Drosophila melanogaster: one gene and its partner. The protein of the gene in region 1 interacts with the protein of each later gene in a pairwise test. Each region holds a gene or a part of one and is shown in the gene's direction. Other genes may lie near its edges.

The links. Proteins that work in one complex are often made in the same cells at the same time.
Region 2: the proteins of Cyp312a1 (region 1) and Fkbp12 interact in a two-hybrid assay, tested with the Drosophila melanogaster proteins (one large-scale study listed by BioGRID).

Annotation. Positions count from the first base shown.
Region 1 is NT_037436.4:18,127,758-18,134,969, reverse strand, and holds Cyp312a1 (cytochrome P450 312a1), read left to right. Parts: upstream 1-2,280; 5' UTR 2,281-2,903; coding exon 2,904-3,532; intron 3,533-3,839; coding exon 3,840-4,399; intron 4,400-4,459; coding exon 4,460-4,803; 3' UTR 4,804-6,030; downstream 6,031-7,212. UniProt on the Drosophila melanogaster protein: May be involved in the metabolism of insect hormones and in the breakdown of synthetic insecticides.
Region 2 is NT_033778.4:19,287,680-19,292,126, forward strand, and holds Fkbp12 (FK506-binding protein 12kD), read left to right. Parts: upstream 1-2,429; 5' UTR 2,430-2,509; coding exon 2,510-2,546; intron 2,547-2,706; coding exon 2,707-2,777; intron 2,778-2,838; coding exon 2,839-3,057; 3' UTR 3,058-3,283; downstream 3,284-4,447. Other genes in the region: AANATL6 (arylalkylamine N-acetyltransferase-like 6), read left to right, coding at 304-972; AANATL4 (arylalkylamine N-acetyltransferase-like 4), read left to right, coding at 1,447-2,121; mip40 (Myb-interacting protein 40), read right to left, coding at 3,615-4,418. UniProt on the Drosophila melanogaster protein: PPIases accelerate the folding of proteins. It catalyzes the cis-trans isomerization of proline imidic peptide bonds in oligopeptides.

The DNA of each region.
Region 1 (7,212 bases):
TGCTGGACTCATCCTATTCGAGCCTCACCTCCTTTCGTGGCCACGCATCACTTTTAATTTCGATGTGAGACAATGTTCTTGGTCCTGTCAGGTGCATAACTGCATTATGTCCTTGTATGTGGCATAGGCGTCCTGTTCGCGTGCGGAGGGGAGGATCACTGTTTATTGGCGTCCATTAGATAAGGAATTTACGCGAACGCAATTGTTGGGCTTCGCTTCGACTTCAAAGGGTTATTGTCGTGCTTTGTCCATTTAGTTCCGATTAGTGGCATTGAGTGGCATCCGCGATTATGCGGAGGCATTGAATTGAATTTATATAGGCGCAAGGGGCATGAAATATTCGAATGCAATAGAACTATGTTTTTTAAATTTTAAAGTATTTATGTCAGTAATAAAATTTTAAATAAATTATTTATAACTTCAACATAACTGCGTTAATGAACCTAAAGGTATGCTGCACATTTTTTCATTTTCTTATGAGAACTAAAATACTTGCAACATTCTTATGTTGCACACATCTTAACTAAATAGTAAATAAACACAGTTTATTTAATATTAGGAACTCAAATAAGTATTTATTTCTTGGCTGAAACTAGGTTTAACGTACTTTTTATTAATAAGTTTATAGTAATACAAGTTTGTTTACTCATTTGTTATACACACTATCGTGATTACACATCTGAAAGCTGAGCCTAATAAAATAATTTTAATTAAAATCATACGCATGTCATTCAATGTCCTCTTATTTAAATAAAAATTTCTGAAACGCCGGAAGAGAAGGGAACTGAAACACAGAGATATGTATATACACAAGTAGCGAATTGAAGGATGAATTATTTTTGTATAAAATGTTGACCAGCGAATATTAATTGCAACCCAGACCCATTCGCTTTAATTACAATTACTCTTGTTCTTTTATTGTGTATTTTGTCGGCTGATAACTTTTTTCGTGTTAATTAGTGTAATCGTGGAGCAGGGGAACTACCTTAGTTATTGTACCTGTCACTATTTGTATATTTGAATTGAATGGCAGTTGGTCGAGAGGAAAACCAACAACACAAACTCCTGAAGAGTGTATTAAATGACAATCACAATAAAGTTCCCATAACTGTAGAGCGAATTTTAATGAATGTGTATTCTATGCGTAATAATGAAAATAAAACAGATATTATATAATTGACAAATATGACACACTGTTTACGCATTAATTGCGGGGAGTTAAAGCCAGCTATACTCGTACAGTTTTGTTTGTTCTTAGCTGATGACTCTGATAATTGTAATTTTTTTCAATTCAAAACTTTAATTCAATAAATATTCACTTCATGTTCGTTAACTGTATTTGTTGTGGTATTTTTTATTGGCATATTTCCAAGCATTTATCTTCATTACAATTTTTGTGGTAGGAAACTGATCAATATCCTGGTCAGCCCACTTCGTTATTCCCAAATCAGGTACTTTCTGTAAGCTAAATTCTCTTATCTTTGTTTATAACATTTTAGGAAATTGAAATCACAATTTCTCTCCACGTATGCACATAAATGGGTGGCCCCAGCGCAATAATTCGTCAAGTTTTATGAGCTTTATGAAATTGGTATGCAACCGACAAAAGTACAATCGAAATTATAATTCAGCAAATTAAACGATGCAGCATCGATGAAATTGAAGTGTATTTGCTTGCGAATTTTGGCATGACGAATCTTGAGTTCAGGGATGTTACTACTTAGTTAGATGTTGTAAAAAAGAAGAACTCTAAAAGCTCAACTATTACAATGGAAACAAAAGTCAATATATTCTAAAAGTATTTTTGTTTTCTTGAAGTTTTGCTATACAATTGGTTACCGTGAAAAATATACTAAAATGGCTTAGCTGCAATTTGCTATTACAAGATTATATGATCCTCATACTTCATCTATATTCATCATCATATATTTCATTAGGTATTCTTCTACGGCTGCAGTAATTGGAACACTTTAGTGTCTTATATCATAACTTTAAAGTTAAAAGTAGCAAATGTATAATAGAAATTTCAAAATAATAGCGAAAATTTGAAGAACTTAGCAATGCTATCCTAGAGCATTTCGAATCCGACTTAGAAATCTACGATTCACCGATTCTCAACGTATTGTTTACATCTCCGATGCCCGATGTTAAGTACTTAAGCGACTGGGGGGCGAGCAAAAAAGAGTCACTTCAATTTCGCTTCCACATCGATTTGAATACGCTTATAATATACATATTCGGGTGTAAGAAATTCGTATAAATAAATATGCGCAGTGTTAATAACGCAGTCGACCCGACAGTTGCTCTTAATCGCGGCGCTTTTGCGCAATACTAAGCCAGTGCAGAATATTTAAGATCGTTTAGTTTGTGCACTCAAAAAAAAAAAAAAAAAGAGAACACCAGACAGTGGTTATTTGAAGATGTTAATGTAAAAATCCAATACTACTGTGAATGGACTAATATTATAAGAGTCAAATGATTTTATTCAAATACTATTCACCTTTTGACGGGTTCGCTTATGAATTGAAATAGAATGGTGTTAAAAGAAAAGACATAAAATGCACATCGATAACTAATTTTATTTGGCACTTTTATGTGACAATTAATCATTTAGACCGCGCATAATATTACAAATTGAAAAAACAAATGAATGATCACATTTTACTGTGAATAGTAAATGACAGCTTGTGAGAAATATGTCGCTGTACACTATTTTTTAAATTTATACACTGTGCACCGATTCGGTTTGTTTTTTCTTGTGTAAATTCGCTTGTTACCCAACTTTTATGACCCTTGGGTCCGGTGACCCTTTAGTAACCGTCTGATCTTCGCGTCTGTGTTCCGCTTAAAACGCTTGATGCGACGCTTCAACGAGGCAGTTGCTCTTTAGAACGTCCGTCGCAATGTTCTGGCTGGGATTCGGATTGCTGTTGCTCGCGTTGTCCCTATACCTGCTATATGTCTTCGAGCGGCAGAGCAGGATCGACCGGCTCACCCACAAATGGCCAGCCCCACCGGCCCTGCCATTCATTGGCCATCTGCACATTCTAGCCAAATTGGTGGGACCGCATCCACTTCGACGAGCCACCGAAATGATCAACGAACATCTACACGATCATCGAGCAAAACTATGGATGGGCACTAAGCTCTATCTCGTGGACTGCAATCCCAAGGATATACAGGCTCTGTGCAGTGCCCAGCAGCTGCTGCAGAAGACCAACGACTATAGGGTCTTCGAGAACTGGCTCTGCGAGGGTCTCTTCACCAGTGGATTCGAGAAGTGGTCCCATCGCCGGAAGATCGTAATGCCGGCCTTCAACTACACCATGATCAAACAGTTTGTTGCCGTCTTTGAGAAGCAGTCGAGGATTCTTTTGACGAATGTCGCTAAATTTGCCGAGTCCGGGGATCAAATTGACTTTCTGCAACTGATCAGCTGCTTCACTTTGGACACTATTTGTGAAACGGCCCTCGGAGTCTCTGTGGGTTCGCAGTCGAGCGCCAAGTCGGAATACCTCGATGCTGTTAAATCGTAAGTAAACTACACGTGTATTACAAGTCCCTTAGAGACAACTTAGTTTGTATTTAATCAGCAACTACGGTGTGATGAATCATAAAATTTTCGCACATTAATTAAACAAAACAAACAGTTGAGAAGATATAAAAGACTCATCCAGCACGCTTGTTCAATAAAAATTTCGTAACCCATTATAGATAGCTTAATTGTTTATTAGTCAGACCTTTTTTTTATTTACTTACTTGGAAGCCATAGAAAAAATACAAGTTACAGGTTACGTTAGTTTTTAATATTGATATTATACATCTTCGTTTGCTCACAGAATCCTTGTCATCATCGATAAGCGACTGAAGAACATCTTCTACCGCAACTCGTTTATTTTCAAACGCACATCGCATTATAAGCGAGAACAGGAGCTGATAAAAACGCTTCACGGATTCACAGAGGGCATTATACAGAAACGTATTGATGAAATCAACCAGGATGCAGAGAATCGCAACTACCAGAGCAGTGATGCGGAATTGGACGGAGTGAAGCGGACCCTATGCTTTCTGGACACCTTGCTACTGTCCAAGGGTCCCGATGGCAAGCCTTTGACAGTCAAGGATATTCGCGAGGAAGTGGACACCATCATATTTGGGGGATTCGATCTCACGGCCACCACCCTCAACTTTTTCATGTATAACATGACTCTTCATCCGGAGCACCAGCAGCGATGTCGCGAGGAGGTGTGGTCGGTATGCGGCAAGGACAAAAGTGAACCCATCTCCATAGAGCAGGTGCGCCAACTGGAGTTCCTGGAGGCGTGTATAAAGGAAACTCTGCGGATGTATCCTTCAGGTCCACTCACTGCCAGAAAAGCCACAGCCAACTGCACAATCAGTAAGTACATATTGTTATTTGTTCCTAGTTATATATATACAAATATTTTAAACTTTCTAGATGACTTCTTCATACCGAAGGGTAGCGATGTAATCATTTCACCAATTTACATGGGACGTTGCAAGGACTTCTTTCCGGATCCGATGGTCTTCAAGCCAGATCGCTGGGCAATTGGAGCGGAGCCCAAAATTGAGGCCACCACTTTTATACCCTTTATGGCGGGGGCTCGGAGTTGCATGGGCCAGCGGTATGCGATGGTCATGCTCAAAATGGTGCTAGCTCACCTGCTGAGGAACTTCCTGTTCGAGCCCCTTGGCGAGCGACAGGTGAAGTTGAAGCTCAACTTTGTGATCACGCTGCATACCGTTGAACCCTATCTATGTAGAGCTAAAAATCTAGATTGAGGCTAGCCAAAAGTTTTTCACTTAGCCAATACGTTTGTCAATAAAGTTAGGTATTATTGTAGGTACATTCCGCTTATTCTAGTCTTTTGTGTATTTTTTTTCCTTCAGTTAAGCTGCTTCTACATGGCCCAAAGATTGCAGGTATTCTTTCTGTAAATTATGCCTCCTTAATTAATTCAATCAAACAGATAGCACACTCTTTTTAAAGCATTTTTATCAGGGATTCTTTTAAGAAAGTTTAATTTACGAAGGCTTTTCAACTTCAAACTTATTATGAAGCTTTTAGAATAGACCGCTATCAATTCGTTTCACTTGGATCCTTTCAAAGCGTTTACGTTTCATTGCGACGCACAACATTTCCGTTTTTAATGATATACTCGTTTAAAAAAAGAATTCTATACGATTTGAAGTATTTTTTCGCCTGCTCATTTTTATGCGATTTAAGCAGGGCGCGTTCGTCTAGAAAATAATTTCTGGCTGGCGTGGATTTTTATTGTGGCAACCGAGCAGCGGAAAATCAACAAACATTTCCTGGCGCTGTAATAAATAAAAATGCATAAAGCAGCCACCAAACCGTCGCCAGTCAGTCACTCGGTCTGCCTGATCCTGCCACATCCTGCCTTATCCTGGGGAAAATACACACACTCCCACTCCCGCCGAATCGCCATTATCCACCAGCATCATCATCGAATTCCGGTGCAAATTATGAGCGTTGCCTGCTTATTATTGCGACAGCCACGGGGGCGCAGGATAAGGCGGAATATAAAATGCAATTTATTTAAATAAAAATCAAGTTTAATTCGCAGTGTCGTAAATTTTTCTTTTATTTTTTTTTTTATACTCTTCAGCTCGTCCCGGGCATTGAATTTCACGCTTTTGTTAACAAGCGCATAAAAGTTTGTTCTATCTGCCAACTGATACGATTCTGGCATTCAGAAGCCCCAGCAGAAGGGGTTAGAAGACTGTTGAACTCAGTGGCTGATTGGTGGTGTGAGTTTCGGGGGTGGGTTGATTCTCATATTATGGCCGGTACATGAGAACGGAAACGATTTCAGCCAATTTCCAAGCATTCCAAATCGATTTTAATCAATGATAAAAAATACATAACAAAATATCAAGCCATTTTTTAACAGAGAAAATAGCTTAAAGGTTTTGAAGAGTTACACCAGTAGTTGGTAGAAATAATACTGTAATTAAAGAATATTTTCAAAATGCCAAGAAAATTTTATTTCTAAACATACAACAAACAATGTATTAAAATGTGTTAAATATAAGTTGTCTTAAGTTAAATAATCAATATGCGAAATAAATGTCTGGTCAAACGACAAAATAAAAAGGTGAACAAATTTTTATTCTTAACATAATTTAAATAATTTTCCCGCTAAACCGGATTTTAATTTTGAACCCGGTAACTTTCGTTTTTCGTTTTAACGAAATAAATTTTGTAACTTAAAAAAATGAGTGCATTTGATGACGCCCAGTTGAAATTTTATGACCACCCCCACCACCTTAGGCCCGTTTAAAATCCATCTTGAAATTAAAATATGCGCCTAAGGAACATGTTCCCAAAAACTTTGAGTGCTTGGCCAACATTTTACGATCGTTTTATTGGTTATGCAATCGCGGAGGGAGGCTTTAACCCTTCTGTTGGCACCCGCCATAACTTAATTATCCATATGAATCCTTGCCGGCTTTTATGGCGACCCAACCCCAGCGGCATTAATTATGATGAGTACTTGGTGGTGTCTCTCCTTTTTAGTGTCAGCTGTCTCATATTTTTATCTATCTTAATTCGCAGATCTTCACGGTGGCTTTCTCGTCGTGTCGCCGCCCATTAAAGCGATATGGAATCCAGGTCCGAATCCTAATCCCGGTCCAGACTTGACTTGATGTTTTATTGCTGCTGACTGGGCGCAGTTTTCATTTACACAATTTTTATGCCCAGCATCTGTACATCGGGCATAAGTTTATGATGGAGCATAATTCACGGCGTGGGCATCGTCAATGTTTAATGATCAAAAAGGCCCAAGGCGAGGGTTCTTAATTATAATGAATTCGGGAAGTCTGGGGTTGTTTTGCATTACACATTTTATTTTGGACTGACTTGGAAATGAATGCAATAATCTGTGGATGTATTTCGCAAAATTTCAGGTATTTCAGGTATTATCTAATATCAATGAAATTATTCATTATATTTTTATAAATAAGTGCAAAAATGTATTGATTTTATTGACTTACTAAACTGTCGAGAATCAAGGCTACTTCGAAATACTGTTACCAATTAACAACAAATTTTTTTTACAAACAAAATTCATTTGTCGTCAAGACGAAAGTGGCTATTACGGCCACATGTGGTTTTGCTTGCCGCTTTCCGGTTAATTCACAATTCTCATTGTTTCAAGTTAAGTA
Region 2 (4,447 bases), on another chromosome or scaffold:
TGATGCAGAAGAATTGTGATTACCTCTTGCTTTAATTTTTTCCTCTTCCTCTTAAAGAAACTGTATCTTATTGTAGATTAGACCTATCGGTAGATTAAAAGATTAATACCAACATGTTCATTTTTTTGGAAATGCAACGTATTATCTTATTTGAGCACCACCTTGAATATAGCAAACAATGGAAGTTCTTGAACTTGTATTTGTAGATAACTCAGTTCGGTTTCTTTAAAAGGCTCCTGCAGTCATGTAGAATGAACCATAGTATACCAAGCCGGGAAACCAAACATCGCTGCTCAGTCCAACATGATTCTTAGTCAAAATGATGGCATAACCGTACGAGTTATGAAGGAGGACGACTATCCAAGAGTGAAAACCTTCATGACGGACTACTTTCACTACGACGAGCCCATGGGAATGGGTCTCGAGGAGCCCATTCACCTGCAGCATGAGGAGGAAGTGGATAGGCAATACCTGGCGGTGATCAGGCAGGGACTATCCATAGTGGCACTGGACGATAACAACGGGGGACTACTGGTTGGCATTGCCGTGGCGGAGACGATGGATCCCATCGAAATGGCCAAGCAGCACAAGGAAGCCGAGGAAATGGAGCCAAATGCTTTGGGTCGCAGCAGGAAATTTATAGCCAAAGTGGAGCGCGAAGCCAACATTTTCGAACGCTTCGGAGTCTCCTCCTACCTGAGTCTGCTGGTCATCTCCGTTCACCCCTCAATGAGGCAAAGAGGTATCTTGGTCATACTTTCCAAATGTCTCTTTAAATTGGGTCGCCTGCGGGGACACACTCTGTTCATCACCAGCGGAACCAATCACTACTCCTCCCGGTCGGCGATGAAAGCGGGATGTGAGTGCATCCATTCGGTGGCCTATGCTGACTACAAGGACGAGTTGGGTCGGCCGATATATAATCCACCAGCGCCCCATACCCACATTCGGGTCTTGGCCTCAAAAATGTAAAAATTAAAATAATTTATTAATTAATTATTACTTTGGCCTTGGCAATTGATAAAGGTCGTCGAGCTGGAAACGCAAGTCCATATGGATCAAATAAAGTAATAAAATGTAGAACGGTCTACTTTATTGTTCAGATATTGTGTTGATTATGTATTTATCGACACATGACCTTGCAATAATTACAAAATCTGATATTAAGTAATCACTTTCCACTCGATGTATTTATCCTCAAAGATTTTGGGTCAGAAAACCATATTCGAAAAATGTTTATTACTAAAAGGATAAGTCAGTCTGGCACTTCATTAAAAATAAAACCAAAAGCCGTTGGAAACAACTTTCTCTTCGCCAAACAGAAACAATCTATAAATATGATAAGCCATTATCAGTGATAAGCGCCGAAGTATAAAAGCCATGTACACATCGGCGTCCTCTTCTGTCTTAAGAAAAGCATATAGAACGAATTAGCTCCGGATCGCGATGACTCCCACGACAATAGATGGCGTCACGATACGCATCATGCGCCCAGAGGATTATGCACAGGTAAAAGCCTATATGGAGGCTGAGTACTACACATCGGAGCCTCTGTGCCAGTCCAGCGGCGAACCCGTTCACCAGCAGAACGAGGAGATCAACGACGCCTTCAACCAGTCGATAATCGCCGAGGGCACCAGCCTTTTGGCACTGGATGAAAACGATGGTGGCCGGATTGTGGGTCTAGTTCTGGCATGTGCCAGTTATCCCGATAATGTGAATGCAGGAACATTGAATTTGAAGCTCGAGAATGTGGAGGATAACGCTTGGGGTCGAATGTATCATTTACTAATGAAGGCCAAGCGCGAAGTCAATCTGTTTGAGCGCTACGACATCCCGAAGGCGCTCTACTCCCACGTGACCAGCGTGGCCTCGTGGAAGAGGGGCAAGGGCCTGGGCTCCCGCCTGGCCGCCACCCTGATGGAGCTGGGCCGATCGAATGGTTTCCCCCTTATGATGGCCTTCTGCACTAGCTTCTACTCCGCTCGCCAGAAGGGGGCCTTGGGCATGGAGTGCATCTATTCCATCGACTACGCCGACTATAAGGACGATGAAGGACGAGTGATCTTCACACCGGCAGCCCCACACACAAAGCTGCGAGTGATGGCAATCAAACTGTGACAGTTGATAACAAATAACTGAGTCGAGGAATTTAAATAAATTATATAACTATAGTTATGTTTATTTAATACTTAGCACACTTTTGGGGGACCTATACAAGTTGACCAATGACCAATGTGTCTCGGACTTTAAGATAAGAGGCAAGATCTTGCACTGCTTTATTCTTTCGGTTCATAGTAAACAATTCAAACGGACGCGCCAAAATACAAAAACGTCCTTATCGATAACTCGGAAAGCAATTGGTTTTGATAATTAATCAAATTGATGTGTGCGATAGTTTCCGCTCACCGACCATCGCCCACCGCTAGCTGTCATTCGGCGACGCGACGAACTGAAATCAACGTGCTTATTTTCCGCTCGGTAATTTGCCAGAAAAAAACTAATCGAAATGGGCGTACAAGTAGTTCCAATTGCTCCTGGTGATGGTGAGTATCCAATGATTGGGTTAGAATCCGCAAGAAATGCCGTAAACTACCGGCCTTTCTAACCTATTTAGTGCATTTTCGCAATGCACAATTCGGAAATACCTGCGACAATATGGTCGTCCCGCTCACACACATCCATTTTTGCATTCCCCGCCCGCAGGCAGCACCTATCCCAAGAATGGCCAAAAGGTCACGGTCCACTACACCGGCACCCTGGACGATGGCACCAAGGTGAGTACGAATCCCGATCCTCGCCATCCCCAGCTAATGATCCGCCTTGAATTCCACGCAGTTCGATTCGTCGCGCGACCGCAACAAGCCATTCAAGTTCACCATCGGCAAGGGCGAGGTCATCCGTGGCTGGGATGAGGGAGTTGCCCAGTTGAGCGTCGGCCAGCGCGCCAAGCTGATTTGCTCGCCGGACTATGCCTACGGTAGCCGTGGCCACCCCGGCGTCATTCCGCCCAACTCCACCCTCACCTTCGACGTCGAGCTGCTCAAGGTCGAATAGGCGCACAGGATGCCCAATGTGTATACCCCAAACCAAATCGCAGGGGGTTGCGGACCGGCGCACCGGCGACGAGCCGAAGAACATCATAATCGGAACCAGAACAATCCAGCAGCATTTGCCAACCCAAAATAATAATGATAACTTCATACACAGCTCTAAACTAGAACTAATTTAACCGCAAAGGGAACGCATCTTCTACCAATACAAATAAACATTTATTCAAGTCAATGACAAATGTCTTTCTTATCAAAAATCTTGGGATAATCCAATCAAATCAGCTGCGGTTGCCTTTCCGTGCTGCAATACAAATGCATTTCATATTATTTTTTAATCAGGAAAATATGCAAATATAAAAACGCTTTATCATTCTCTTGATAGACTTGAAGTGGTCTACTTGACAAATTTGATTTTATTTTATATAAGTATATAAAGTGTACAAGCATCTTATTTGCATATATATTCGATTTGGAAACAGGATTTTTTTTAATTCTTTGTGCACAATTAATCCAAATTATTTTTCATTTTCTATACCACTTCCAAAATCACCTAGATACGCTTCAGTTTTTGCAGACCAAGCTCATAATCTTGTCAATAACTTCATATCGCTCCTTTTCATACTTCTTGATATGCTTTATCCAGTGTCCGCGCACTTTCTTCCAGCGGTTCATATTGGAGGACAGAAGATCGGAGGTACTGGCACCTTGGAGAGCCTTTTCCCGCTTCTTGTCCTCCTGGCTGAACTCCAGACGAGGCGGAATTATGGGCAGATCCGTGGACTTGGCCTGCGGGAGCTGGTTGATCACCTTTATCTCGCCGCTTTTAATTTGGGACAGGATTTCTTCGCCGTTGTCCTCACGTTTGGTGGCCGTGAGTGAAGCATCTGTTTGAAATGCACCCACAGCTGGATTCTTGGGTTGATTTGCCATCCATGCGCGGCATATGGGGTACAAAGGAGTCTTATCCTGGTATTTGGACAGGTCCAAACTTCGCTCAAACAGGCGCATTACGTAGGTCTCGCCGGGCGCCTTCTGGGCGACTGCCGCTGCTCCAACGCTCTTCTTGTAGAGCACTCTCCTGGCCTTGATGCGTCCTCCGGCGCCGGCTGCGGCTGCACTCGAGGATGTCGAAGGCTTCTCGCTAGAGCCCGACGTGACCGTCTTGACTTTCGGATCTAGCTTTACCTGGTACTGACGCTGCTGTTGCTGCTGGATGAGCAGCTTCTTCGAGGGACGGCCCCGAATGGGCAAATCCGACTCTGCGTCGTCGTCCGGCGGCAGGTTTGTCGTCTCTGGTTTCTGCTCCTCACGGCGCGACTCCCGCAAGCGCAGGGCCGTTTCCTTCTTTTTCGGCACAGTCTTCATTTCCAGAAATCTTGTATTCGACACGAAAA